Linked DNA regions of Rhinolophus ferrumequinum. The protein of the gene in region 2 binds, or shares a complex with, the protein of the main gene of each other region. Links are inferred from orthologs where the notes say so. Each region holds a gene or a part of one and is shown on either strand. Other genes may lie near its edges. The genes, in order: PRPF3, SNRPD3, STRAP and DHX16.

Region 1 (7,225 bases), on a different chromosome or scaffold from region 2:
TTAGGAGATGGTTCCATTGTGCATCAGGGTTGAGGCTCACTGGTAAGGGTTAAGGAAATCATGTCGAACCAGAAACGGAGGTTTACAGTCAGAATCTGGAGGAATACCAACATGGAAGGGTAAATCGAGGAAGAAAGTCAGCAAAGGAGACCCTGTGTGGGCCAAGAGACTCAGTCTTTTCATCTTTGGTGCCCTACTTCTCTATTGTAAGACTCTAGTGTTGAATCCACATGACTTCTGGGCATGACTGTTTTCAACAGAACCTGAATGAGCGACCTCTCCTGCTTCCGGGAGTCGGCAGCCAGTCCCTTGCCTCCCATCTCCCTGCCACAAAAACCTAGACAAACTGATCTATACACATATGATTTCTCTAGTAGCCTACAAATCATTCTCGATATTAAACAGCAGGAGGCTGGGAGAGGATCCCATAGGTACAGTGGTTCCCATGTCTATTCACATTTGTAATTTACCCAAAGCTGAAATCTTTTCAAGTTAATGTTCAATCTGTTGTTATCTTGGGCTTTGTGATGTAACATACATAGCAGCAATAAATAAGATTTCCCGCTGGGCAGAAGTAGCTGGTGATGTCTCTTATTATTTCCTTCTTCCTGTGTCCCCCTTCTTCCAATTACAATAGCCGTGGCTCAATCTCCTTGTCTCCAATTGTGTTTGTGACTTACTTTTTACATGTAATGAAAGGACAGGGTAAGCAGGAATGGGGCCATGTAAACAATGCCAGGAATGGAGGACAGTAGCGGCAGGTGCCTCCAAACCTCCTCAGGATCAAGTGATGGTGGGTGGAGAGGGAGAGACAAATTGCAGGTTGGAGCCAGAGCTCTCAGGAGCCTATGAGTTATTAGGTAGATTGGAGAATAAGCCCCTTGTCTTCTTGGCTCACTCAAAACAAAAAGGGGAGTTTGAGTTCGGTGTGTTATAAATCCAACAAGAGAAGCTGCATTGCAAGAAATTGGGTGGGCAGGAAAAAAACACATTGAACTCAGTTTTATGGACATTTAAAGGTTAATAAAACATGGTCTCTGCCTTCGAGGATTTTCCGTCTAATGAGGGAGATGTTTGTAAAACTAGCTAATGGAATGGCAGAATGAAATAATTGCTAAATAGGTGTTTAATAAAATATTTTCTCTAAAGAAGATGAGAAAGCTTTGTGGAGAGGTGGCATTGGGGTTTGGCATCAAAAAGATGAGGAAAATTTCAGTCAGAAGGTTGGCAGCCAGTGGTTGAAGGTGGCATTCCAGGCTGAGGAAGCAGCGTGAGCAGACGTGTTAGAGTGTGTTCAGGGAGTAGTCAGCCAAGTAGTGTGGTGGAGCAGGTGGCACATGGAAAAATTGTGGGTGAGGCTGTTATCTTAACGTCCCCATTTGTGTCACCGGTGTGATAAGGGCCTCTTCTTTCCTGTACTAAGTAGGCCCAGAGATTTCTCAGATCTGCCGACTTCAGCTGTATCAGTTTTTAAACACAATAGGGATGGAACTATATTCTCTACTAAGGACCATATCAGAATCACTCCTAGTGACTTTTTTTTTTTTTTTTTTGCTACTGTTAAGAGTCACCCCATGTGAAAATTCTGAAATGACCCGTTGCTTGAGAATCACTGCCATAGGGAACCACTGTTCTTATGAGACTGTCATATCCCTCAGGTGTGCTGTGGTAGAACAAAGGTTGAGAACATGATCCTGAGTGTAAACTCCCCAAGAGCAAGGACTATGTAGATGATTGCTTTTTTATTCCCCACAGATTCCTATATGGGGCCTCCATAAGGAGACAGTTAATACTATATTGCCACCATTTCACACCATAATTTTTACAGACCCCAAGTGTTTGGTCAGTTGACTTCTGGCCATCTGTGAAATTGGAAAAGAATAATAATGAGCCCCACCTTCTAACTTCATTGCCGTTCTTTGTACAGAATCCTCAGCATGGATGGGCTCATTGAGGACATCAAGCGACGACGGTACTACGAGAAGCCTTGCCGCCGGCGACAGAGGGAAAGCTATGAAACCTGCCGGCGCATCTACAACATGGAAATGACTCGCAAGATCAACTTTCTGATGCGAAAGAATCGGGCGGATCCATGGCAGGGCTGCTGAGGCCTGTGGGTAGTGGGCCCAGTATGAAAACCCCTGTCCAATGGTGTCTCCACCTCTTTTCTTTCTCCAACCCCATTTTATCTTTCTTGCAATAAGCTCAATCACGGATATATAAGAAGGCCTGCATATATAGAAGCAGTCCCACTAGTCAGTTATTAAGTGAAAGAGAAACTGTGCCAAAAAATAGTCTTGGAGTAGAATGGTGATTGCCACGAGCTGAGTGGGGGTGGAGGGGAATGAGGAATTACTATTTAATGGGTACAGCATGAGTTTGGCAAGATGGAAAAGTTCTGGAGATGGGTGGTGGTGATAGTTGCATAACAATGTGAATGTACTTAATGCCACTGAATTGTACACTTTAAATGATTAAAATGGTAAGTTTTATGTATATTTTACTATGATTGTTTTTAAATAGTCTAGGAAAGCTGAGGACATTTTCTAAAATGTTGTAGAATATATCTACCATTTCTTACCCAATTTCTATGAAACACAAAGCAAGATCTTATCATTGGGAAAGCATGTTACTCTTTACTTGCACTGCCCTCAACTGTTAAATAAAAGGAGAGGAAGCATGTGTATATCTGGAATAAATTCTTCAGAAACTCCCATCAACCAGACTAGAGTGCTGGAATCCTTGTCCAAAGGAATCCTTAAGACAAATCTAACATTCACTCCTGTTTTCTGTTTTTCCTAAAGGAGGCTAATGGAGGGATGGTGGAGAAGAAATAAAGCGGTAGATGGATGGTAGAAAAGAGGAAATAGAGTGTTAAGAGACCGGAGGACACAGAGCCTGAAATACCTAGAGCAGCAGTTCTGAGATTGTGCTCTTAGGTCAAAGTGTGCTCTTCAGATCTGCAGTATGAAGATCACCTGAGAAATTGTTTGAAATGCAAATTCTGGGCCCCTATTTTAGACTATGTGAATTGGAAATTGGGGTTGGAGCCCAGTAATCTATTTTCACAAACCCTGCAAGTGATTCTGATGCTTGCTGAAGTCTGAGGATCACTGCCCTATAATAGTACTTAAAAGAGATTCCAGGCTGAGGTCCCCAGCGCCAACCCTACCTCTCAACAGGCACTCCTGGGTCTGTGATTCTTGACAGCTGGGGGCATCTGACTGTGGGAGGAACCAGCTGCTCTGCTTCCTTTCCTGCTGTGTGCTTCCTCTGGCCTTGGTCCCCTGAAAGCCATGCTGCTGATATAAGGAGTGTTGATGCCAACCCCCAGAGGAGAACGGAAGAGGGTAGGCGGAAGCAGCTAGCCCACCTCTCCTCACCCAGGCTGCAGCCCTCAGCATAATGTTTAAAAAGGAAGTAAACTGAGCAGACAGCCTGGCCCCCTACCTCTCCAAATTGCTAGTGTTCAAACATTGCCCCCTTGTGGTGTATATATTGTTACCTATCAGGTAGCTTTATTGAACTCAGAAGCAGCTGTTTTAAACGCATTTACCTTCGGTCACTTGTGGTCCTCACAGCAGCCCTCTGAGGTGGATTTTTTTTATAGGTGAGGTAACAGGGCTTAAGCAATTTGCCTAATGTATAAATAATGGGTGGGAGAACTGGAATACAGATCTAAGCAATCCGGCTTTCAAGCCCCTGCTCTTAACCATGAAGCAGTATTGATTCTCAGAAGAGGATGCCTGGTGCATACTAGTAGGCAGTCAATAAATATTCAATTAACGAATGAGACAAGAGGAGGGTGGGGGAGAGTTGCTATCTTCAGAGTCCTCCCATACACGTCTATTTTCTGCGTCGGTCTCTGGCACCACTGTTAATTTACTGAAGGAGAAAGGTTAGGGAGACGTGGCTAATGTGATCTCGACTCTTACTGAGGATTGACTTTATAACACACGAAAGGCCACGTTTAGCCTGAACTCATAAGCCCCGCTTTTAGTTCTAGCGTAACTTCAGCGCACTGACTCGCCACACTAGGAATATTGCAAGCAGCCCGATTTCTGTTTCAGGCAACATTAACCTTGCAGTAATCCAGTTAGGAGATTTAGCTGGGGAAAAGGAAGCCGTGGGGAGCTTGCACGGGGCAACTTTAGGGCTCCGCCACGCATGCGCCCCGCCGCCAGGAAAGTGGCTACTACGGCTGCGCGCGTCGGTGGCCCGGCCCTCCCCGTCACGTGTGGAGGACCGTGGCGTGGCGGCGGCAGTGGCGGTAACGACGGCAGGCCGTAGGGCGGTCGGAGGGTTTCCGGTTCCGGTGTAACGTTCGGGCTCCGTCTCAGGGGCTGAAGTTTGTGAGGTGAGTAGTGGCCCCGGGCCCAAAGAGGGTGGCCTCGGGTCGGAGCGCCTGGGGCCGGGGCTCAGTCCAAGAGGGGGACCGAGGCTGGAAGGTTCAGCGGGAAGGCAGCTGAGAGGAGAACAAGGTTCTGCGGGAGAAGGGGTTGGAATGAGATTGTTGAGAGGAAAAGGGCGGGGGCGGGAAGGGGACGGGGTGCGGAGACTAGCTCTGAGACGAGGAGTTTGGGGAGAACAAGGTGGGCTCAGGGCCGGCCGGGGAGAGCAGAGAGAGAAGAATGGAGGTTTGGGGGTGGGGTGGGGGTGGGTCAGTCGGGGTGTTGCAAAGAAGAGCACGGAAATCCTTCAGAAGATTGGAGTCTGCACCCTCCCCATTCAGAGATCCTTCTGCCTGCCTCCCCACGCCATAACACACACCCGCCCCACGCAGTTACTGTCCAACATTTGATTAGTGACAAAGCTAGTTACTGTTGGAAACTTTCATTTTGGCCCACGGGCTGTTTAGTTTGCACATTCTCTTAGGAAGGATTGGGTTGCACTTGAATACATTTGTTAGTTTAGTGTTGGGCACACATTTAATCTAATAGACCGGTTCCTCGTGTATCGCTTTGGATTTTCAAATTGCTTACACTTTCTAGCCTGTGATTCAATTCTAGTGGAACATAAGCCCCGTTAAGACGAAGATTCTTGTCTGTTTTGTTCACTGGTGTACGTATTCTCAGCACCCACTATGCTGCTTGACACTTAGTAGTTACTCAATAAATATTCGTTGAATGAATTAAGTACCAAGATGAGTAAACTGAGGCTCAGAGGAATTACTTGCCCAAACGCTGGTAAATGGTAAAGCTCCGTGTTGCAACTCTTCAGTGTGAGCTCTTTATTGACTGTGGTATCTGAATATGCTGCTTTTAAGCAATGCACATTTAATATATAGGAGATTGAGAGGTTATACTGCTGTCTCATGATGGGTGAATAGAACCACCTAGAAGTATTCACATAATGTGTCACTGAGGCAGGAAATCTATCACTCCTAATTTCATGACTTCAATCTACTAGTTTCATACGGTTATACCCAAATTTAATAACACCGTTTAGCAACAGGTCTTATAAGGGACGTCCCTGCCAAGAATGTAGAAGTTAATCAGACCGTGTCTTTTAGGAGAAAAGATGCCTTAAAAACGGCCTGAGAGCTTGACTCCTACATCAGACCCTGATATGTGGCCCTGCTGGGAGGAGGTTATCTGGGAAATTGAATTCAGTGCGGTTTATTGACTTTTAGGCACTATGGTGAAAATAGGGGAAATACAATTTTCTCTATGCTCATGGGTTTTGAAATTTAGGTAGGAGATCAAAATGTAAATGTGACTATTGTTTAAGAATTGTACTAACTTGTGTTAAATGACAAATTAAGGATTTGTTATAGAATCTTGTATGATAGTGTAAAAAGTAGAAAAATAAAGGTGAAAAGGCAGAACATCCAAAATGGGGGTATTCTTTTCTGAGCTGGGGGATTACCTTACCCAAGTCAACTGACAAAGACCCTGTAGAACATGAGAGAAAATTGTCTGGGTACAGAATCCCCACTAGCTTGCATATGACTACAGAGAAATAGAACATTCTTAAGGATACGAGCTTTGATACAGGATGACTGACCTGAATAAGCCTTCCTCTATCTGCATCCCTTAAAAGTAAGGAAACCTGTAGGTTACGGCTGAGTTAAGGAATGCCTGCCTAGAATTAAGAATAGAAAAGCTGCCTCTGGCTGGGCTTTTTCAGTCTTGTTTCCATATTATACTCATATGTTTGCCAGTCCTGTTGATACAACAGGATCAAAAAAGGAGCCAGAACTCATTGCTCAGACTAGGCCATTCCCGGGTTTTATCTGTTTATTCCACAAGTTTCATTGACTCACTGATAGTGAGTCAGGCTTAGAAATCTAATGGGGGAGGCCGGCCCAGTGGCTCAGGTGGTTGGAGCGCTGTGCTCTTAACGCCGGGTTTGCCGGTTCGATTCCCACATGGGCCAGCAAGCTTCACCCTCTACAGCTAAGATTGTGAACAACAGCTTTCCCTGGAGCTGGGCTGGAGCTGGGCTGCTGTGAGCTGCTGGAGGTTGGCATGAGCTGCCGTGGGCTTCTGTGTGCTGCCACGGGCTACTGTGTGCCGCCATTAGCAGCCGGCAGCCAATACAAGCTGCCATGTGCTACTGTGGGCTGCTGTATGCTGTCGCGGGCTACCATGTGCTGCCATGAGTGGCCAGCGCTAGTGACCGGCAGCCAGCGCGAGCTGCCGTGGGCTACCATGTGCTGTCATGAGCGGCCGGTGGTCAGCGTGAGTGGCTGGAAGACATCATGAGAGGCCAGCAGCTGGCAAGAGCTGCTGTGAGCTGCTGTGAGCGGCCAACTGACAACTGGCGACTGACTGCCTCAGCCGGGGGGAGCGCAAGGCTCATAACAGCAGCATGGGCCAGGGAGCTGTGTCCTACACAACTAGACTGAGAAACAACGGCTTGAATCGGAGTGTGGCGGGGACAAGGGAGAAGAAGAGGGGGGAATCAAATGGAATGTATTTCTGCTTTGAAGTATAGGTTTTAGGGAAAGTATTTGACTTGAAATGAAGAGGAGCAGCTCGACTAAAGATTGAGAATAGAGGTGGGGAAGACATTTGTAATGTAATAAGCATTGACTGGAATCACTTTAGTCTTTTCCTGTCCTCTAACTTAATTCTTTCCTGGTTTCTTTTTAGGTGCAGTACTAAATCCCATTTGACTTACCTTCCTTTTCCTGAAGAATGGCACTATCTAAGAGGGAGCTGGATGAGCTGAAACCATGGATAGAGAAGACAGTGAAAAGGGTGCTGGGTTTCTCAGAGCC
Region 2 (7,016 bases):
AGCATACATACACCCCGAGGCCACTCTCTCCGCAGGCTGCCAGCCAATGACTGGCCACAGCGGGGGTACTAGAGCCAGGCCATTTCTGCCCCATGCTACTCTCCTCAGTTTTGGCATCTACATCACAGAGGACCCAAAGTAACACTATTCCCATTTTACTGATGAGGAAACTGAGGTGATTAACATGGCTATGGTCGTATAATCAGGATTCAAACCAACATGATTCCAAAGCCCAAGCTCTTAACTGATGGTTTAAAGAACAAAGGAGAAAGTGTGCGGATACACTTTGTAATGTTATACAGATTCTTGTGATTATTAAAAGCAAAGTAGTGCCACGGGAAGAACACCACATCAGGAAGCTGCTCCAACATTTATTAGCAGGGTGACATTCACTAGATGAGTCCTTTAATCTTATTCTCCCTATTTTATGGATGACAAAACTCCCACCAAACCCATTTACCTCGAAAGGTAGTTGCTATAATCAAATGAAATTCTTCCCCTCAAGAAAACTGGCAAATAAGCACATTATGTGAGTGTAAGATTTTGCTAACTGCAAAGCATTATGCAAATATGTGGGGGCAAATGGATAATGGTCTGAACCTGAAGGATTCCAACAAAGGGAGCAGTGCCACTTCTCTTAAACAGTCCCCCAAATATGGGACAAAGGACAAAGTTAAATATTCCAAACTTCTGAATGGCTCTTATTCATGCCCATATGCCCGCACCTATACCAGTCTCTGGCACACATTAGGCACTCAGTAAGGAACTGTTCAATGAGAACTTCAAAAAGACCTCCAGTCACCATCTTTCTGTCCCGCAAGACAGAGACACAAGCTTTCTCCAGTCTCATGTACAAAGCAGGATACCTGGCAGTTCATGTTGTCTTCCGCCTCAATGAGCTTCCCACGGTACACCTCACCAGTGTTTGTCTCACACGTCACAATGTGACCCTCCGCCTCATGTAGAACTTTAATCGGCACACCAATAGACATCTTGGCAGGAAGAGAGTTCTACAGTGGGAGAGACAACAGTTAGTTCATCTTTCAGGGCCTGAGAAGGCATGTGGCACATACCATGCCTCCCTTAAGGCCTGACACTCCATAAAACTTAGCAAAGATGTCTCAGCTGCATTTTCTACAAAAAAAGCTTAACATCTAGCTTGAGGTACCTATCTGAAAAAATACATGGAACATGTGGGGTGGGGAGGAATGGAAGCCCGGGTAGAGGGAAATCTAATGGGAATGAAAAGTACCTTCCATCTTCCTCCCTGCTATCCTATGTCCCTTTATCTTCACCAAATAACCATCAATCAATTCTGTGTGTTTGGGGGCAAGGGGGGTGGCATGCATTACCTTACAATGTATTTGTCAACCCAGAGCTGTAGGTGACACCATTTTGAGAACCCATGATATAAACCCGAGCTGTCCAAGACAGCAATCACTGTCCACATGTAGCCATTTAAATTAAACTTAATTAAAATGAAATAAAATTTAAAAAACTCAGTCCCTCAGTCATATTAGCAACATTTCAAGTGCTCAATGGCCACATGTGGCTAGTGTTGGGCATACATATATACAGTATTACTAAGCACTGCTCATATAGACCAAAGGATGCAGGCAAATCTGGAAGAGGTTGTGTATTTAATTTAACCCATTCTATGCCCTTTGACCCTCCACTTCACCATCAAGGCTAAAGAGAAAATATCAAAGTGTTCACAGAGTGACAATGTGCTAGAAGCAGGAAATGCTTTTATTGGAAGAGAAACAATCAGGGCAAGCGCCTGGCTTGACCTAATTGAACGAGACAAGTGAAGGGTTTTTTAACTCCAAAATGAACAACGACTAAAGGCTGGAAAGCACCATGTGTGTTCAAGAAAGGAAAAGGAACACGAGGTTGGGAAAAACACGCCGGCTCCCTTGGAGAGGAGCCTTAGGAGTGTGGATTTTAGGCTGAAAACAGCGAAGGACCACTGCAAGATTATATGTAAGGAATAATCCAACAAAAAGGTAGCAGCACTTATAAAATGGATCAAACACAGTTAAGAAGCAGGGGAACGTGATAAAACTTCTGTACCAGTGTGGAAAGCACGGGGCACCAGCGCCTGAATGGAGGATGGAGGCAATCAGTCAGAAATGATTTCAAGACTATTGCCTGCACACTTCGAAAAACAGACCTGGAGAGGTATAGAAAATGAAGAGCATGTACTTTGGGGAAAAGCTAATAAACTCACTTCCAGGCGCTAGTGAGGCGACGCTGATGTTTGGGTGGCCCAGGCTTCCCGCTCTTCTCCCTCCCCGAGCCACGCAGAGCTCCATGGCTGTGCGTCCTCCAGCCCCCGGCCCCTCACGGGTGTCTCGGCCTACCCTCGCCTGCCCCTGGCCTTTCCTCACCGGTTCCGGTCTCCTCTTCCTTTCCCGCGCGGCTGCGGTGTCTCAGGCGACTCCGACGGCGTGAGGCGAGCGAATGGCGGATTCCGCTCTCCCAGAATACCATGCGTTCCCAAAATGCCGCGCGCAGAACCCGACCCCTTCCTTTTCCTAGTGGTGAGAGCGATCTCGCCTCCGCCTCCTCCTCACCCCGCCGGCTAGGAAACGTGGGCTCTGGTACGATCGTTCCGGCCCCAGAAAAGAGGGTTGATGATGGGGCCCAGGTGCCACCCGAAATACCGACCTTCAGCCCGTCAAGGGAAGAGGGGAACTCGCGGTTCCAAGCACCCCCCACCAGGGACGGGCTGGATCCAAGGGCGGAGATCTAGGGTCTGGGCCGTCGGATCGGGGGCAGCAGGCGGTAGGGCCGAAGGCTAGGATCTCCCCTCACAATTTAACCTTTGGAACCCGGCACTGCCAGGTAAGTGCGACCTGAGCAAGGCGACGAATTTCACCATACGGATAGGGAAACTGAGGTATAGAGAAGAGGGGGTGCCGGCCCAGGGATTCGGAGTAGGGTTAGGTCTCCCGAAGCCCAACGATTTATGCCACAGGACCAGGCCTTGGACCTGAGGCTGACAAAGAAGCGGGTGTGAGTAGAGGTGGAGCTTGCTAAGGGGAAGAGCCTCTGGGGAGCCAATGTTCGCTGGACTACAGGGTTTCGGGGCGGGGCTCAGAGAGGGGCGGGGCTCCCCGGGAACGGAGGCGGAGAAGGGCCTGTGCGTCTGCGCGAGAACTGGGAAAGGGGCGGGGTCACCAAAAGCCAAGGCTGCGACTGGCCCGGGCGGGCTTAGATCAGGAGGCGGGGGGCCTCTAGTAATAGGACGAGGGATGGGAAAGGGGTGGCCTCTTTGGAGGCCCAGGGAAGGGGAGGAGCTTATGGAAGGGGCGGGGTCCCAGGATCTGAGGCCTGGAGGGGCCGGGGCGGGGCTTGGGGAGGCTCTGCCACCGCCTCTTCTTCTCCCCACCGCGCTGGCGGTGGAGGTGGCGGTGGAGGAGCCTTACACGTTCCGGTCCCACTCCCGCCCCAGCCGAAGCTACAGCCGGCGCCAGGCCGGGGCCATGGGCGCCCCGCGCCGCCCGGGTCATGAGGACGGAGGCGGAGGCAGCGGGGTCGCCGCTCGAGCCCGGTTAGTGCCTCCCTGAGGGCCCAGCCCTCACTCGGGAACGAGGGGTACTCCCACCCCTCCACAGCGCGGGGCAGGGTCCGGCCGCGCGCGCGACCTTGGGCCGACCGCCGCCTCCGGCGAGGCTATAGAGCTTCCAGCGAAACTTGGCCAGGTGTACGCAGCCGCCTTGGTTCCCTACCCTCCAGCCCCTGTCAGTTGGGGTTTCCTGATACTCCCAGGGCTGAGACCCCAGTCAGCTCTGGTAGCGGTCATGGTGGGGAGGGTCCCAGCGTGTGAGGCTGGGGCGCCACCTTCCCCAGAAGCAAAAAGTCCTGCTGGAGTCGCCTTGGGAGATCCTGACCCCTGGGGAAACCAAGGCCTAGAAGCGCAAGGAACTGCTGAGAGCACAGAGCAATGGGAGGGCCCTTACCTGGCCTCCCGGACTCAGCGTTTTGTCCTGTACAGTTCTTCACCCTCTGGTTCCTTCTGCGCCGAGGTGGCCTGAGTTCCTTTGGGGTGGAAACCAAGACTGACATTCAGTGTCACGGTCTTCAGTTTGCTTCTCTAGGTGGGGGAGGGGGAAAGGAGTGATTTCTTCTCTGCTTAAGGCACAGGGTTGATGAGAACGAGACAGTGGTAGTGGTAGTACTACCGTAGTAAACTCTGAAGTGAGTTGCCAACTCATGGGAGAGGACAAGAGCGAGCGCGTGGGAACCTGACACTAACGCCTCAGTGGAACCACAGTGTCACCCGAGGAAGTGGTCTCTTGCGTTTGCAGCAAGGAGTACCGTCTAATGCTACCCTGGGATTTGCATCCTACTCCAACTCTGTGATGTCGGACCAGGCGCTTGCTTTTCCTGAGCCTCAGTGTCAGTGGAGTAATGGCTCACCTTCACAGAGAGCTTTCTCTAGCAGGCACTGTGCTGTGTTTTACATGCAGTGCCTCGTTAATCCTCATCACCACCCCATGAAGAAGGCTGCCTTGTGATTTTCACTTTTATGGATGAGCTGACTGAGGCTGAGAGGGGTTAAGTACTCAGGGCCAGTGAGCTGCGTTCCTTCCTTGGTGACAGCTGCCAACTGAAGCCAGCCAGGGCCTTCTAGGCAGACCCTAGTTCTCACGTGGGACAGTCCCTTTGCTTCAGGCATCAACATCTTGTAGCAGCTTTGGGCTTGGAAGACCTCGCCTACTCTTATCATTCCCCACAGGAGTGTCTGTGGGTCCCTATGGGCAGACCTGCTGGTGCCAAGACTGGGGGCGGCCACAAGGGGATGTTCAGCTCTTCGGGACCTCAGGATCAAGGAGTTTAAAGGATCAGGGCAAGAAGAAAAGGGGCAGCAGAGCTCAGAGCAACTGCCCTGTGCCACATTTACAGCTGGGCATAGGAGAAAGTACAGACAGACTCAAAGCCCAGCTAGTCCATACCAGAGCCTGCGGTACAGAGTAAGGAGGGAGCCATGAACAGGCTGTAGTCTGGAAGCCTGGGGGTGGGAGTGCTGGGCATTGCGGTGACAGGTAGGCCCCTGGCATCTCAAGGGATAAGGCCTTTGGGGAAAAGCATGTTCCAGTCACCAAGCATGTCTGGGTGCCTGCTCTGGGCTGAGGGCTAGGAGGAGGTAAATGCCACCTTGTCCCCACCTACCCCTGAAGAATTCTCCATTTGTCCACTGGGGAATACGGACACCACCTCAAATAATCCATATTGAGGGTCTCAGAGAAGGAAAGGGACCAGAGCATTCGGACGTTTAGAGATGGGAGACAACGTTCCAAATTAAGGGATATATAAGAGGAAAGGCTGGGGAATAAACAGCCTGTGTAGAGAAAAACACAAAGGCCGTTTATGTCCACAGGGAATTCTTGAAAAGGGAGGCACCCCACCATGGGGGGACAATACCCTGCATAGAGCTCTCCTCCACTCAGCCCATTGGGGGGAATTATTTTAGAGTATGAATCCCTGGAGGGCAGGGTTTGGATCTTAGTCACACAGTGTCCCCAGATCCTAACACACGGTGGGTGCTCAACAAGTTCATTTCTTCCAACAAATGTTGAATTACTACTAAGCATCAGACACCAGGCACTGGGAATACCAGTGAACGAGATTAGCAAATTCTCTGCCCTCAGGAAGCTTCCAGGCTAGTGGGGAGACAGAAGAGCCTGATCGACTGACTGACTTTTGCTAAGTACTGTGAGGGAAACAAACAGCATGCTGTGACGGCGGGCTCCCTCACTCTGAAGATGTAGCCAGAAAAAGCATTTCTGAAGAGGAGACTTTGAGCTGAGACCGAAATGACCATCAGGGGAAGCCTTAAGAACAGCAAGGGAAAGAGAGTTCCAGGTAGAGAGAGCTGTATGTGCAAAGGCCCTGGAGTGGAATGAAGCTCGATGGGTGCCCAGAGTAACAGGAACAGGGTAAATGAGGGGTAAAGGCAAAGATGAGGCTGGTAGGTCCTGCTTGGGCAGGGCCTGCAGGCTATGGTAAATTGTGAGAACTTTATCCTAAGAGCAGTGGGACGCTATGGATGGCATCCCTCTGGCTTCTGTGTACAGAGATGGCAGAGGAGCTGAGGTGGAATTTGGAGAAGACAGGCAAAGGTCAGGCGGGAGTAAGCCCTCAGCACTGAATCCATGGCAATGGGAGGAGGAGAATGTGTGAAGGCCTTGAATGAAGTGCCTGGGTTCCTTTTAAAGGCACCTGGGGTCGGGGGAAGGAGGGAACAAAGCCTCAGCCAGGCCTGGACTCAGTGTGCCGGGCCCCCTCCCAGCTGGATGGAGGCAGGGTTCACATCAGCACCCACAAAGGGCTCTACACACCTCCTTGCCCTGAGCGCTCCCACCACCTTGCTGGCTGGTGTCTGTGATGGTGCATTTCATAAAGGCGGAAGCAGGCTCAGGGAAGTCAGGTGCCTCTCAGGTGACTCAGCCAGTGGGTGGCCTGCCCTCGCCCATGCCATCCTGCCTCCCACGCTGCTGCGTGCCCTTGAGGGTGAGGAGTCTGGAGAGAGAGACCAGTACCATGCAGCAAAGGAGCCGCCACAGGTCACTGCCTCTTAGGAATGTACAACGGCCCAGAAGGGCACAGACAAGCTCGGTGCCAGGGTCCCCTCTGGGAGGCAAAGTGTGAACTCAGGCCTGGCGGAGTGCCGATGAAGGAAAGGGCGTGGCTTTTTCAGAGATGGCCCCGAAGTGGTGGCATCTGTGCCAGGCCGTGAGGGCGGGGGCGGATTTAGACACAGGAGAGTAGGAGCACGGGACTCCTTTTAAGAAGGCACTGCCCAGACGAGGCCAGTAGGTCGGAAGGCGAGGATGGCCTCCAGGGCTAATGCGTGGCCCTCATGCTGGGGGCATGCAGTGGGGGGCAGGCAGGCTCCCGGGACGGCTCTGCACCGGCTGGTCTTGGGTTCAAGAAAGGCCCCAGAGACCTGAGGTGAGGAAACAATGTGGGCAGGCTTTTCATGTCCTGAATGGGTGTCATGAGCGAGC
Region 3 (7,200 bases), on a different chromosome or scaffold from region 2:
CAATCAAAGGAGTCTCTGTCACCTTATAGGCACGCTGACATCTAAAGCAACATATGACCTAAAGCTGTCTGTTGACATAAAATGAACTTATATAAAACCAAGCATTTCCCTATTTTATCAATATTACGTACAATCGCAACAGGGCTCAGCACAAGCCTCATAGTGGTGATGCCTAAAGACATAATAGCAATCTACTCATCGATGACACACAAAAAAGTTTAGACTAACACAACTTTTCTTACTGATCTCTTACCATGTCTAATTTAATCCCATGTAAGCACTACATCTCCCTCTCATTTTAAATTTTCATTTTTAAAATTTGCATACAGTAAAATTCACTGCAGTATAGAAGTCTTTGAGTTTCAACAAATGCAGTCATGTATCCACCACCATCACTCTGCCTTTGTTTTTCATAATAAACTTGGTACGTTAATTTGTTCAAAACAAAGGAGCAAAACATTTACAATTGCTCCTCAGTGTGAAATTCTGTCTTAAAGACAAAAAACCAACAAAACCACTTTTACTCTCCTGACTCTTAAGTCTTACAAAGTCTATTTTATACGAACGAGTACAATAGATCTTGATATTGCCTTCATTAGTTTAAACATTTAAGTATCTGCTAAGTCACAAATACACTTAGAAACTGGAAATGCAAAGATTATACAAAATGATACACGCCCAGAAGGGAAAAATGGGTCATTGCAAGTCACTGTAATAACATATATGCAAAAACCAAAAATCAAAATAGGTAATATAGCTAGGTTGTAGGGCATATAGTATGCAGTACCAGATGATGCTAATGAACTAGGATGCGGCCGAATCTTAAAGTGCCAACAACTGAAATTTAATCCTTAGGCCAGTGGTTCTAAAGCTGCACATCAAAATCACCTGTGACAACTTTACGGGGGAAGAAACCAAACTGATACTGGGCACTCCATCCCCAGACTAATTAAATAAAAAATTCTGAGACATATGCATCTGAGTATTTTAAAAGATCCCCAGGTTATTCTAATGTACACCCAAGGTCATGAACCATTGAAATAGCAGAGGGAAGACAGGAAGATCACTAGATAAAGAAGTGACATAATGAAATTTGTTTTTAGAAAGACAACTGGAAGCACTATGGAAAATGAATAGACCAGAGACTAGTGACAGGGACCTGAACTAAGGCAGTGGCAGAGGCGTAAGAAACATTGTAGTCAGGAGGCATTAAGATGGTATAATCAACAAATACGAAGATAATCTGGATATAAGGGAAATATCAAGAACTTAAACTTAGAAAATGAAGAGCAATTGATGGAAGTTTTAAATATGTCTAAAGCCAGTTAACAAAAACTGAGAGTGAGATCAGGCTAAAAAGTCTGGGGCCGTTAGCAAGAGAAAGTCATAGGAGTTTATAGGTATCACTCAGGAAGCACAGGTGGAGCAATATTTCTAAACATGACCCCCAACATTTACTATCTGCAGTGCTCGTTAATAATGCAGATTCCCAGGTCCAGACAAGCTAAATAAATCACTTAAGTCTCTGAAAATTGTTAAGAACCACTGAAGAGAAAGCAGCAGACAGGACCACGGTGCAATTTTGGTGAGAACAAACATTCATATGCATTGAATTAGAATTTTATAACAGGCTGAAGTTTGATTATTTCAGAACACAACCCACAGAGATCCCCAAAGCTGGCCATTTTGGCTATACTTACGCTGTGAAATCTGCAGCTGCTGTAGCTGCTTTGGTGGCATCCTTATTCAATGTTGCACCCCAAACAGCACCCTTATGACCCACAAATGTTCCAATCCAGTCTCCTGTATCTCCCTGGCGTAGCATAGGCTTACCGTCTAAAAAATATTTAAAAAGACTTGTGATTTATAAGTTCAAATTACTTAAAATCTATGATTCAAACATAAAATCATGATGAATAACCAAGTGGAAAAATTGCTTTTGTTGTCTAAACTATTTTCACTGGGGTCACTAAGGAATGTTCAGAAATAAATTACAGGTAACTACATACGCGTACAACTAAACTAACTTCATAAATTAACTGAAGAACTGAGCCAGAGATTCTCTCTGGGATGCATCTGTAATTTGGTTAGAATACTGAATTGCAACAGAACAATCTAGAATCGAGTCTTATTTTGGACAAACTTGTTAACTTAAATCTCAGTCTCCATTTGAAAAATGGGGCTAATACCACAACGGAATATCCAATGACATAATATGAGGGACAAGTCTTGGTAAAGTATTCCTTCATCTGGTCTCGTTTCCCCATTGCCGAAACCCTTGAAAGATATTTACAGTTTGGCGGCCAAGGTGTCTAGGCAAGTTTACAGTTCTGCTTCTCCAGAAATAGCAATAAAAGTAAAATGAGCAGCCTTAGTTGGAGGCAATACCTAGCCTTGTCGGAGGTGTCAGAAAAGCTTCCTCTGGCTGCCGCTACGGAACCCCTAACACTACTCTTTGACCGTCATCTCAAAGGTTGAGATGCCCACAACCCCTCCGGCACTGTGGAGTTCCGGCTCCATTCCGTTTCGGCCCAGTCCCAGACGTCTGGAAACCAGGATCAGCAGCCCTGCTCACCTTTACAAGCGCTGATTAAGAAGTAGCCATAAGGCGTGATACCACTGAAAGCCAAATCAACCACAGGCCGCGTGTGGCCGGAGCAGGTGAGCGGGGTCTGCCTCATTGCCATGGCGGCGGCGAACCAAGCTGGCGGGCTGGGGAGCCGGGGGTCTCGTCTCCTTCTTTTCTCTCCTCAGTTGCAGCGTCTCTGGCTCCTCAAGGCCCCCGCCCTGACACTGGGGCTGGACCGGAAAACAGAAAAAGGAGGCCAATCCAGTGACACCGAAATTAGGAAAAGGTTAGGGATGGGTCAGGGAGTCTGCGACGGGCCACCCACAGCCGCAGAAAGAGGGAGAGGGAGGGAGGAAGGAAAACAGGGGAAGGGGAGACTCGGAGAAGCCCGGCCACGGCCCGCACCGTCCACACCGCTACCGGCAGGAAGTGACGATTCCAATGACGCTCAGCGTCCGCCGGAAGTGATGATACAGAGGGAAGGCGAGTTTGCCGGGTAGAAGAGCCCTAATGAGCCAGTAGGACAGCAGCGCGCAGGCGCGAGATCAGCGCACGTAGGGCACGTGATGCTCGCCCCGCGCCGGCTTCGTACGGCGCCTGGAGATGGTCTAGTCTAGGCGCTTTCGCAAAGTCCCACACGCTGAGCTCTGACCAGGCGTAAACGGCCTTGTTATCGCCGTGTCGAGTTCACCGGGTACGAAAGGTGTCCCTGCTTCGCCGAGACCGTGGACCAGCCGGCTCCCGTGGGTTACGCACCAAGCAACACCACCAGTGGGACTGTGGTCGGTACCTGGACAGAAGGACAGTAAAACCCGAGTTTCTCCCCTTACGGCGGCCGGCCAAACCTGCAAACAAAGTCTAAGAACTTTTTTTTCAATTTTTGTAACAACTGTATAAGCAGCTTCCTCTGGGATTGTCTACAAGTAAGGCCCTTAAAAAAGTAATTTCCCCAGCCACTCGTTCTGTTATGTGACATTCCTGTATTGCTAGTGTCTTAGACATGAGTGTTATGTCGCTTTAAATACAGTTAAATTCCAATTACTTTTCCTTTGAGGAATTCGGAGTACCCTAGAGCAGTGGTCCCCAAACCTTTTTGAGGAAATATTCGCATTAATAAAAGTTGAGCCTGCATTCCCGATATACAGATAACTGTAAATTACATATACATTATAACGAACAAAAGAGTAATATTAGAAGACTGGAAAAACTGAATATAAATGAACTCTGGTACTGTCTTCCTGCAGGCAGCCCGATTCAGTATTGCTGCTCCGTGTATCAACCAGAACTGTTGATTGATTGCTCATACAAAAGCTTTCCTAAGCAGGAAAGTTGCTTTCTTTGGGAATGGTGTTTCTTTCCATTGATGATATAATTTAAACCGGAAATAGAGATTTTTGTGAATTATCCCTGCTTTATCCCCAAGGCCTTAATGTCCTGGCACATACCAATAAATATTCAACTAGTACCAACGTCTGTGAATCTTTCCTTCTCCACCATCATCTTTTTTGTGCTGAACATGTATCATTCACGATTCAAGTCCAATGACTTGAATAGGGACTTGAAGTGCTTCCCGAATTTAATTCCTTAATTAAATTCCACAATTTTGTTCATTTATTGTGCCACACTTACTGTATGTGTTTCTACATGATATTTTAGACACAACACACCCATACACATACTCCATTCACACACCTGAATTATGAGCTCTTTAATGGCAATGGTTATGGCTTTGTCATGTTTGTGCTCTAGTACCAGAAGAGTGAATGGCATTTATTCATGGATAGTGTGTCCTTAACAAATGCTCGTTTACTGATTGTGTAAATAACTGCGTTACTGATGGAGGTAAATAAAAAACACAACGCAAATTAAAACAACTATTTGGTAAACTATTAATATTGCCCATATATTGCTCATTGTATGCAGGTAAACATATAACTGATAACTACTTTGCTCTAAAGAATGTATAGTTCCTGTTCATTTGGATTCTGAGTTCTAAAAGTATGTATAATGATTAACTGGCTTCAAAGGTCAGTTACTATTAGAAGACAGATTAATGCAACTAACATAGTTACCACATTAGAAGACTAAAAGAAAAATATTAATATGTAAAAAGTTTTAGATCGAATTCAACCTCCATTCATGATAAACTTCTAGATATTAGAAATAGGAGGGACCTAATAGAAGATCCTAAGAAACATCACACCTAATAATGAAACACAAAGTATTTCCTATTAGGTCGGGTACAAGTGAGTGCTGAAAGGAAAAGGGAGTGAAGTAGGCAGGGAGAGCCTTCAGGCCATAATGCTGGCCTGATACTTGTGAAAGGGTGAGAAATAAAAGAGAATCGCATAGAAAGAGACTCAGACTACAATGCAAATCTGAAAAAGTCTTGTCCAAGCAAATGTCTTGCCTAACTCAATAACACATTACATTGGTGAGATATGGGACTAGTGACCACACATAGCCACAAGAGGGTTTGGAAAATATAATCTAGCTGGGCATCCATGTCAGGAAGACCAGGAAAATAATTTGAGTGTGTCAAAGTCTCAGACAGTTACCTATTTTGATTTACTTTCTTCCCTTTGAGTTACATCTTTCCTACTGCACTCGGTGTTTTTCCCACTTTTTTTTTTTTAACTGTTGTGAGTCAATTATTTTTCACTGTTTCAAATGTTCTTTTCATATTTATTAACCTAAAAAGTTACAGAGGCAGGAAGCATTTATTTGAGATTAAAAAATTGCAATTCTGGGAAGCAGTGATTCAGGCAGATATCGCAACAGTGTTACAATTAGAAAAGGAAAGCAAGGGTATTTATGACAAAAGGAGGGGCAGTAATTACATGAATAGAAGGACAGATTTTCTATGGGTGTTAAGTCCAGGAAGAAATTTGTATAGGTACACATATACTAAGTTATTCTTTAACTACACATGGTGGTGCTAATTCTAAAAAATGTTTTTAATTTTCAGTGTGGTAATCAGGATGTATACTTTCCTTTTAGTTTTGCAAACACTTATTTGGAATACAGTGTTGCTTTGGCTCAGTCCAAAGGTTATTTTGCCCATTTCGAACATTCCGAAGGTTTGAGGAGTAAGACATGCAAGCAATTCCTCTGGGATGGTGGCTCCAACTCTGTTTTGTAGTGGCTCCATTTATATTCTTTTTCACACATTCATGCTTTTATTTTTTTTATTCAGTTTTTTTCCCTTAACTCTGTCTTTGTATCTCCATTTGTTTTCACATTATTATTATTATTATTATTATTATTATTAATATTATTTTGGTCTCTTGTTATAGAGTTCATCTTTTCATATTTTTAGAGAGTGTCAGGAAATTTTTACACATTTCACCTTTTTTCAGTAATTATTTGTCATTTACATTTATGTTTATTTTGTTTAAAAACAATACTTTTTTAAAGGAAAGATCCCACGTCACTCATCAGTAGATGGTGACAGTTGCATTAATTTGGTCTGTTACTTGTATAAGAACAGTGTCAGTGTATTCTTTTTGATTCTCCTCTGTTATTACAAAGTGTTTTGGCTATATATTTAGAACTTTAGCTAGAAGAATGAGTATTAGTTTATGATTTTGAAATGAAATCAGCCTCTTGTGGGGTGAGAAATCTCAAATTACATGTCAAGTCAAAGACAGGAGACTGAATATGAATACTTTTGGTTCTGCTTCTACCCTAGAAAGATCAGCTGTCATGGTTTTGTGGATAGAGGTAGAGATAGAGATACAGATAATTTGATGGGATAAAATGCGATCCCCCTACCCCATCATCCACACTTGCCTGAGAGGAAATATTACATTGTCAGAAAAGAATCCATTAGAGCTGGTACCATTTTCCCTAAATGATTCATAAAGAGTGATTCTAAACTAAAGTGATAGTTCTAGTAATATGGATATGCTCGGGGGAAAAAATCAAAAGATTCATATCCAGGAATTCAGGTGTTATTTTTTTCCCAAAAGAATAGAGTCAAAGTCACATCAGTATGAAGATTATACCTTCCTCATATAATGCTAGGTCATGTTGTGTTGGGAAGAAAATTAATACCCATGGAAGAGAGTTGCCCTTGTTCTTACGTTAATCAGGCGAAGAATGGCAGCAGCACTCAGTGATGGAGAGATCAATCTGGAATCATATCACTCACCATCTTTATCTCATAAAACCAGAGCCCATGGTGTCACTGAAAAATTCCTGTGTTTCTCTGGCAAAACCCAGGCCAAGGAAAACTCCATCACCATCTGGACAAAGCTTGTGTGATTTACCATACACAATGATGTGGTTCCTTTCTTATCTTGGGAGAAGTTGAATTTCCCTGAGAAAATAGGTGGGGACCCCTAGATGGTGAAGGGTTAAGCAAGGTCTGTAGGAGGAACGTTAGAGTTTGAGGAAATAGAGTTCGAAATAAGTGGCGGCCATCTGAAGGCCTAAATGCTGAGGGCTTTCCCTCCCTCTCTCCATCGGTTGGTACAAGAAAAAGTCACAACTCCTAGGTTCTTCTATTTTGTACTTATTGGGAGTGCGTATTTAACTCTTCTATAAAACTAGCTGCTTCAATGGCCATTGTAGCTCAAACAGGTAGGAAGTCACCAAGAAGCAAACAGGAAAGAGTAAATCCCTTTTTC
Region 4 (7,191 bases), on a different chromosome or scaffold from region 2:
TTACTTGAGAAGACCAGGCCTTTGGAGAATTGCCTACCCTACGTAGACACATCAGAACAGGTCCAGCTCACCAATTACAAGGGCTCTGCTCCTGTGCAGTGACAAGACCCATCCAGGAAAATGGAGGGAGATCACAAGGCCACATGGGGATGGAGGGACTGGGTGGTAGGAAGGCACTAGGACATGGTGGGCCCCGAAGCTGAACAGTCAGCATAAACCTGGGCAGTGGGACAGCAGCCCTGCCCTTGCCCGCCAGCCAACCCCTTGACCTTCCAGCTACTTCTGATTACATCTGGTTAAGTATCACATTTCTCTCACTAACATACAGTATGATTTGATCCAAAAGAGTCAAGGAGGATTTGCGAGTAGCTCCCTTCCCCTCTAACTCCAGTCCACCTTCAGCAGAGTCCTGTCAACCCAGCGCCTCCTCCAGAGACCCGAGCCCCAACAGCTCCCCCACCACACTTCCTTTGTATCCTTTCTCCCTCCCTCTAACCATGCCACCAGAAAGTCTTTCCTTTTGTTTTCTGCTCTTGGCTTCCTGGGCACTGGGACTCACCATGGCTTTCCGGTCTTCCTCAGCCATCTTGAGGCGCTTCTGAGCCTCTTCATAAGCCTAGGAGAAGAAAGCAAGAGAGGAGGGATGTGAGGCCAAAGCACCCACAGCCAGAGCCATTCCCCCTCTAGAATTATAAGGATCATTCGGATGTCCCCTAGCACAAAGAAATGTCCCTTCTCGGTGAGGAATCTCTCTAGCAGAGGGCTGCCGTAGCCAGAGGACCCAGAGGGGTTCTCTCACCAGAGGTGAGCATACCACTGGAGGCATCTCCTGTTTCCCCAGAAATCACTCCCTCTGCATCACGCCCACCCTGTTTGACCCAGGGATCATCCTGGGGATGACAGAATGCGCAGCTCCTATGCACCTTCTTGTCTGACCGCTCCAGGACATTGCGAGTCCGGTCCTTGTCCCGCTGCCGAACCCGCTCGGCGAAGGCATCACGTTCCTCCAGGTCCTGAAGGCGCTCTCGCTCTGTCCGCTCCCACTCATCCTCGGATTCCGGCTTCTCTGTCTGCTGTTTGCTCTCCCTGCAGCCCAGAGGGAGGATTAAATAAGGGCATCCAGAAGGTTTATCATCCTGTCATCCACCTGCCCCATCCTCTCTCACCCTGCTTCTGACTTACCCTCTGTTCCTCTTCCCTTTCTCAGAAACCTCTTCCTCCTCTTCTTCCTCCTCCTCCTGGCGTTTCTTCCGGAGGTGTTTCCGTTTTTTACGTTTCTTCTGGAGACTACTCCCAGCCCTACCCACAGTCTCCTCACTGCTCTCCTCACTGTCTTCCAGCAACTTATAAGATCGGTTCTTCTCTAGCAGGGCTCGGGCCTCCCGCTCGGCTGCCCGAGCTGGCTTTTCTGCCACTGCCTTCCGTGGTACCTGTCAACAGAGACAGGTAAGGGGAGGGGAGCAACTCCTGATCTCTTCATACCTACTTTGCCCTGTTCCCAATTTAAGGAATGACTTGATCTGAAACCAGCCTTCCTTCACTCTTCCCCATGGCTTCACACCATGTTCCGCCTAAAAGGGGCCTCTGAGCTTCTGAACTTCCTGTCAGTTATTCATTTAACAAACACTTATTAACGCCTGTCCCAGGCACCAGGTACTTGCTAAGAGCTAGGGATACAGAAATAAATGAAAGAGAAAAATCCCTGCCCTCATGGAGTTTACATTTTCAAACCCAATTCTCAATTGCTTAGCCTGTGCTCTTCCCAATGATTAAGTCAGTCCTTTTGTAGACACACTAGAAGGATTGCTCTGCAGAGGCCTGTCACAGGCCTGGCACTGTACCAGACTCCAGAATACTCTGGTGACAGATTAACATAAAATCCTCACCCTCGTATCACTTACATTCTAACCCCATCTCTTGCCAAGTACCATATGGGACAACCACCCCAAGCTACGTGCCATTCTCTGAACATGTTGAACACTTTCACTCTTACTATAAACTTTCTGAGCACCTGTCCTGTAAGGCACTCGATTAGGTGGTAGGAGCACAAAGACAAGAAATACAGTCCTGTCTTCCAGGAGCTCACTCCTTACCCCTTCTCTACCTGACAACTCCAGGGAATCCTTGGACGTGCTTTTCCTGATCACTACCCCCACCTACCATACTCCCACAACACTTCCTTCTACAGCCTCTCTTCTACAGCCTCACTATTCAAAGAGTGGTCCCTGGACCATCAGCATCAGCTGGAAACGTGTTAAGATTCGTTAGAAATGCAGAAACTAAGATCCACTCCCAGACCTACAAAATCGGAATCTGTACTTCAACAAGGGCCCTGGATGAGTCGTATACATGCTCAAGTTCGAGAAACACTGCTCTATAACACTTAACCGAACACATTTAAGCCCTCCTCGGTCTTCTCCACTGAGCTGGACGTCCAGTACGTAGCGCAGTACCCGCGCGACAGCGGACAGAGGACAAATGCTGTGAACTGAGCCTATGACTTAATTCCCGGATGGACCGTTAGCCCAGCCTCACCTGGAAAAATAACCTAGAGCCCTTCCCCTGCTCCACCCCCTCTCCCGCCGCTCCCACGGCGGGCCCCTCCCTTCCAGACACCTTGTTCCAGAGTCTCAGGGCGAAGTCCCGGGCCGGCCCGCTGAGGTCCAGGGTATCTGTGTCTCGCAGGCGCTGCACGAACTCCTCCGCTGAGCCGCAGCGCTGCGCGGTGCCGATCAGGAACTGGGCCACGTGCCGCTCGCTTAGCCCCAGCACCGAGTGCAGCTCGTCCTGCACCCAGCGCTCCAGCCCCGCCGGTGTCGCCATGGCGACCCGCGCTCCCGGTTTCCGGCCCTGAAGGGTCTCGAACAGCCGCGCCGTCTGCCGGGCGGGTCGGAGACCTGAAGGCCCGGGCTGGAGCCTCAGCTCCGCAAAGGAGCCACCTTAAGACGTTAGGGTTCGGTTTCCGACAGCCCAAAGCTGTCTTCCCCGGCCGGGGAGGCCGGAAACGGCCGCACTTTTCCGACGTAAGCACTACGGTGGCCGAGCGAGTTCAAACCTCGCGAAACCTTATCTGTGGCTCGGAGGAAATAATTTCACTTCCGCCGTACCGTGTCTCTCTGTCGCCCCTGATAGTCAGCCTCTGGCTGCTTCATTCATTCATTCACAATGCTGAACGCCTAATGTGTGCTAGACACAATTTTAGTCGCTGGGGATAGAACAAAGAACAAAACAAAAACCCTCACCAAATTTACGTTTGACGGGGAGGAGGGAAGATACATAATAAATAAACCATGTAAGTTCTATGGAGCCAAAATTAATGCAAGATGAATGTATGGGGGTTCTATTTCAAATCAGAAGATCAAGTCCATGCTCATTAAAGATAAGCCCATACTGATTCAGAGTAACCTTTGCTAGGAGCAATAAGTGCAGCAAGAGTGAATGCAGGTTAGGCATAAGTGAGGACCTCCAGGCAGGAAGAAAGTTGGGATCTGGGGGGAAAAAGAACGTGCTTTTCTCGATGCTGTCTCAGAAAGTAATTTTAAAAGATCTCTCCAAACTAAGGCATGTGCAAATTGTTTTCTGCATTTTTGCTAATAGTGTGAGAAATTCACTGGTGACTCCTTATTTTAAAATAAGCAGAAAAACTGTTGGTTGTTAGATGGGAGAGGGGAAGGGATGGGGGAGAAGGTGAAGGGATTAGAAAGAACAAATTAGTAAACACAGTATAGTCATGGGGTATGAAATACAGAATGGGGAATATAATCAACAATGTTGTAAAGATTATGTAAGGTGCCAGGTGGGCACTGGACTTATCAAGGGGATCACTTCTGTGGGGACAGAGTCCCGGAGAGCAGTTTCCAGGCTCTTGGCCTCATGTGGAAAGGTGCTGGCTCGGGTAGTAAATGGCCATCAACTGTGACTAGTTGGCTGTCAGCTGTAACCAGTTAGCCATTGGCCACTGACATAACTGCCGTGGCTAAGATAACAAGCACAGATTGCAGTTAGCAAGTGAGGTTGGTTGACAGAGAAACGGACGGCAGGTTGCAGATCATGTGGCTCCCGCTTCCTGTGTCTCCAACCCAGCTGCCAGCGAGGATACAGTGGTATGACTCCCCTACCTACGGCTCCGTTGGTGTTCCTTTTTGGCCTCACCATGTCCTGCGTTCTCATGCAGGGAGCAGGAACTGAGACCCCGCATGACACCCTGCATGACAACTTCATAGACTGTGTAGATGCCTGACCACTGCGCTGTACACCTGAAGCTGAAGTAGACTAATATTGTATGTCAACTATAAGGAAAAAAATACATACATTATACTCCACGGGAGGTGGAGTATAACATAAGATAGTCAATGGTATAAAATGTCAAAGGGGTAGTAGCTTGGGGGATGGGGGTTATCACTCTGTGAGAGGTGTAAATGTCTAACTACTATGTTGCTCTGTACACCTGAAACTAATAAAAACTAATTAAAAATAATAAAATAAAAATAAGCGAAACTTGTTACTTGACTCTGTTTCATACTTTTATGATTAATTGGACTTACACTGTTGTTGAAACAAGAAATATTGTTGTTCCAATTAACAGCCACAGATAACTCCTTACTTCTTAGATGCATTGTTTTCTGTTTCTGAGATGGACCATGAGCACCCCTGGCATATCTGGTCTTCCTGCCTCTACTTCCTGGGGTCACAACAGATTAGGATTTTTACCTAATTAGCTATTAATGTAAGCATTGTTTCCTTCCATGCGCATAGCCTCTGAACCAGCTCATTCTTTTGACACCTTGCTTGTTCCTTTGCTAGTAAATTAAATACTTTTGGCGTATGTTTAAGACCAATTTGTCTAATACACTTTGTTCTTAGTAAGGAGGAGTCTCCTCTGACTGGGGCTGAGAGAAGCATACTGTAGGACTATAGCTACTCAACCATATCTTTACTAGCCTGGAGAACTAAAAAAACTGACTTGGTAAGTAAAATATAGATCCTTCACATTTGTAGAAGATACAAATTCTTTGAAGTGGGAAAATCTCCCAGTATCAATTTTACTTAAGCAACAAAGCCATGAAATAGCAATGGCTCTTAAACCTTTAAGAATATAAAACCTATTCTCTATCAGAGGAGACCCTTTCCCAGGAAACTGCACTTCTGTACATACACTGTGTTTCACAACAAGAGATTTATTATTTAATGGTCCAGAATCCTGGAGTAAACGCCCCTGGATGAGCCAATATCATACACTACCTGTCTGCTTGCACTGCAGTAGGCTTCTGAATACTGGAATCCTTCAATTCTGCTTCCAATATTTTGTCTCTTTTCATCTATTCATTTATTTGTTCAATCATTCATTCTAGACATCCTCTCTCTCTCTCTCTCTCTCTCTCTCTCTCTCTCTCTCTCTCTCTCTCTCTCTCTCTCTCGTCTACTAGGTGCCGGCATGGGGATAAACCCAACCAACATAGTCTGCCCTCATAGCACTTGCAGTCTAGTGGATACTTCAACTGCTCTTCCTCAAATAAGTCCTTTGAGAAACCAGTGCAGGGCTCTCTCAAAGCCCTTTCTACATGTCAATGCTGATTTCCTGGTTCAACCCCATTATTTTTTCCACACACAGCCATGGCCACTTCCTTTTCCTGGCCAATAGGAAGATGGCAGACTGGGAATGCGGCACAGCCTCCCCACACATATACCTTTTTCTTTTCTAAAGGAGAAACAGGCCGGCCGGGTGGCTCAGGCGGTTGGAGCGCCCTGCTCCTAACGCAACGCGGAAGGCAGCTGGTTCCATTCCCACATGGGCCAGTGAGCTGCGCCCTCTACAGCTAAGATTGTGAACAACAGCTCTTCCTGGAGCTGGGCTGCCCTGAGCAGCCAGGAGGTTGGTGTGAGCTGCTGCTGGGGGTGGGGGTGACAGGGAGGGTGTCACCCGGCACACAGCAGCTGACCGACTGCCTCAGCTGAGGGCAGTGCAAGTCTCCTAATACCAGCATGGGCCAGGGAGCTGTGTCCTACACAACTAGACTGAGAAACAACGGCTTGAACCGGAGTGGGGAGTGGGGGGCGGAAGAAAGAGGGGGGAAGGAGAAACAGCGGGAAAGTCTTTAAGGCTACATTTTATTATGGAAAATTGTTTTCGTCTTAAAAAAAAACAACAACAGGCAATTGACAAGGAAGAATGAGGGAAAATTGAGGTGCCTTATTAGTCACCCTGCACCCTTGCAATTCAATTCATTTGTGAACTGAATAGGAGGAACAGAATTAAATAACCAGATGGGGGTACAGAGTTAATATTCCCAGCCTTCCCTTTTGGGGAAAAACTGAGGCACAGTAATACTGAGCAAAAGTGGAGGAAGCCACAGCCCCAGGTCACTCCCAATGAGCCGACTGCAAGGGATAGGGGACAGGACTCCATATGGACTTAGCAAGGCAAATAGTAAACCTAGCTTGTAAACCTGGGACTTTGGGGGGTGGGGGGCTGGGAGCTGTAAACAAAGGGGCAGTGACCTAAGGAGCAGCAGGGAGAGGAGCCTGTAAGAGGAGTGGGGGCCAGGCCTCCCAGGGACAGGAGTGCTTAAATCTTGAGAGCCCTGGGGTGGGGGGAATTCAAGGAAGGCTGTAGGGAGAGTGTGCTGGGCCCAAGGAGGTGGAGGGGGTGCTCCATCTGCACCTCAGGAAGCTCTGTGCTCCCTGGGACTTGGAGCTCACTCTTGGCTCACCTAGGATGCTTGAGCATGCCTGATGCATTCACACCAGGGACCTTGGGTGAGGGTGGATTTAGGCAGTTGGGTCTGCCCCCAGAAATAGGATGAGGAAAGCAAGTTGGAAGATGTTGATTGAGTTTCCCTGCCAGGCTCATTTTCAGGGTTGTCTGTTCTGAACCATCTGGGCTCCAGGATCTTCAGTTCTGGGAAGGAGGGAGGTATATGCCTGTGTTGGAAGGGGGTCACCTCCGGCAGGACTCATCTGTGGGAAAGGAGACAATGATGACAGAGAATGAGTGAGGTCCTCTGCTCCCTGCCTCCCCACCCCACTCGCGGAACTGAAGGCCAGTTGTCATAAGGAAGTCTTATAACATCTTCCACATCTTGAGTGCCTGTTACTACCAGTCATGGCAGCCATACTCATTTAGCTCATATTGTGTGCCAGGCATTCTTAAAGTTCAATTACTCTCACAATAAACTCTAGGTGGATTAAATA

Evidence for each region.
Region 1: SNRPD3 (region 2) and PRPF3 share a complex: the UniProt entries of both Homo sapiens proteins name them as parts of the U4/U6-U5 tri-snRNP complex. The link is inferred for Rhinolophus ferrumequinum from reciprocal best matches to the Homo sapiens genes SNRPD3 and PRPF3.
Region 3: SNRPD3 (region 2) and STRAP share a complex: the UniProt entries of both Homo sapiens proteins name them as parts of the SMN-Sm complex. The link is inferred for Rhinolophus ferrumequinum from reciprocal best matches to the Homo sapiens genes SNRPD3 and STRAP.
Region 4: SNRPD3 (region 2) and DHX16 share a complex: the UniProt entries of both Homo sapiens proteins name them as parts of the minor spliceosome. The link is inferred for Rhinolophus ferrumequinum from reciprocal best matches to the Homo sapiens genes SNRPD3 and DHX16.

Annotation. Positions count from the first base shown.
Region 1 is NC_046305.1:50,663,174-50,670,398, forward strand, and holds the start of PRPF3 (U4/U6 small nuclear ribonucleoprotein Prp3), read left to right. Parts: upstream 1-4,224; 5' UTR 4,225-4,357; intron 4,358-4,401; exon of another isoform or gene 4,402-4,481; intron 4,482-7,097; 5' UTR 7,098-7,142; coding exon 7,143-7,225. Other genes in the region: MRPS21 (28S ribosomal protein S21, mitochondrial), read left to right, coding at 1,928-2,108. UniProt on the Homo sapiens protein: Plays a role in pre-mRNA splicing as component of the U4/U6-U5 tri-snRNP complex that is involved in spliceosome assembly, and as component of the precatalytic spliceosome (spliceosome B complex).
Region 2 is NC_046308.1:22,251,251-22,258,266, reverse strand, and holds the start of SNRPD3 (small nuclear ribonucleoprotein Sm D3), read right to left. Parts: upstream 3,012-7,016; 5' UTR 2,391-3,011; intron 1,011-2,390; 5' UTR 993-1,010; coding exon 867-992; intron 1-866. Other genes in the region: protein GUCD1, read left to right, coding at 3,514-3,556. UniProt on the Homo sapiens protein: Plays a role in pre-mRNA splicing as a core component of the spliceosomal U1, U2, U4 and U5 small nuclear ribonucleoproteins (snRNPs), the building blocks of the spliceosome.
Region 3 is NC_046293.1:29,904,957-29,912,156, reverse strand, and holds the start of STRAP (serine-threonine kinase receptor-associated protein), read right to left. Parts: upstream 3,013-7,200; 5' UTR 2,688-3,012; coding exon 2,576-2,687; intron 1,837-2,575; coding exon 1,701-1,836; intron 1-1,700. UniProt on the Homo sapiens protein: The SMN complex catalyzes the assembly of small nuclear ribonucleoproteins (snRNPs), the building blocks of the spliceosome, and thereby plays an important role in the splicing of cellular pre-mRNAs.
Region 4 is NC_046286.1:1,279,203-1,286,393, forward strand, and holds the start of DHX16 (pre-mRNA-splicing factor ATP-dependent RNA helicase DHX16), read right to left. Parts: upstream 3,021-7,191; 5' UTR 2,824-3,020; coding exon 2,617-2,823; intron 1,431-2,616; coding exon 1,183-1,430; intron 1,087-1,182; coding exon 924-1,086; intron 617-923; coding exon 560-616; intron 1-559. Other genes in the region: PPP1R18 (phostensin), read right to left, coding at 6,938-6,957. UniProt on the Homo sapiens protein: Required for pre-mRNA splicing as a component of the spliceosome. Contributes to pre-mRNA splicing after spliceosome formation and prior to the first transesterification reaction.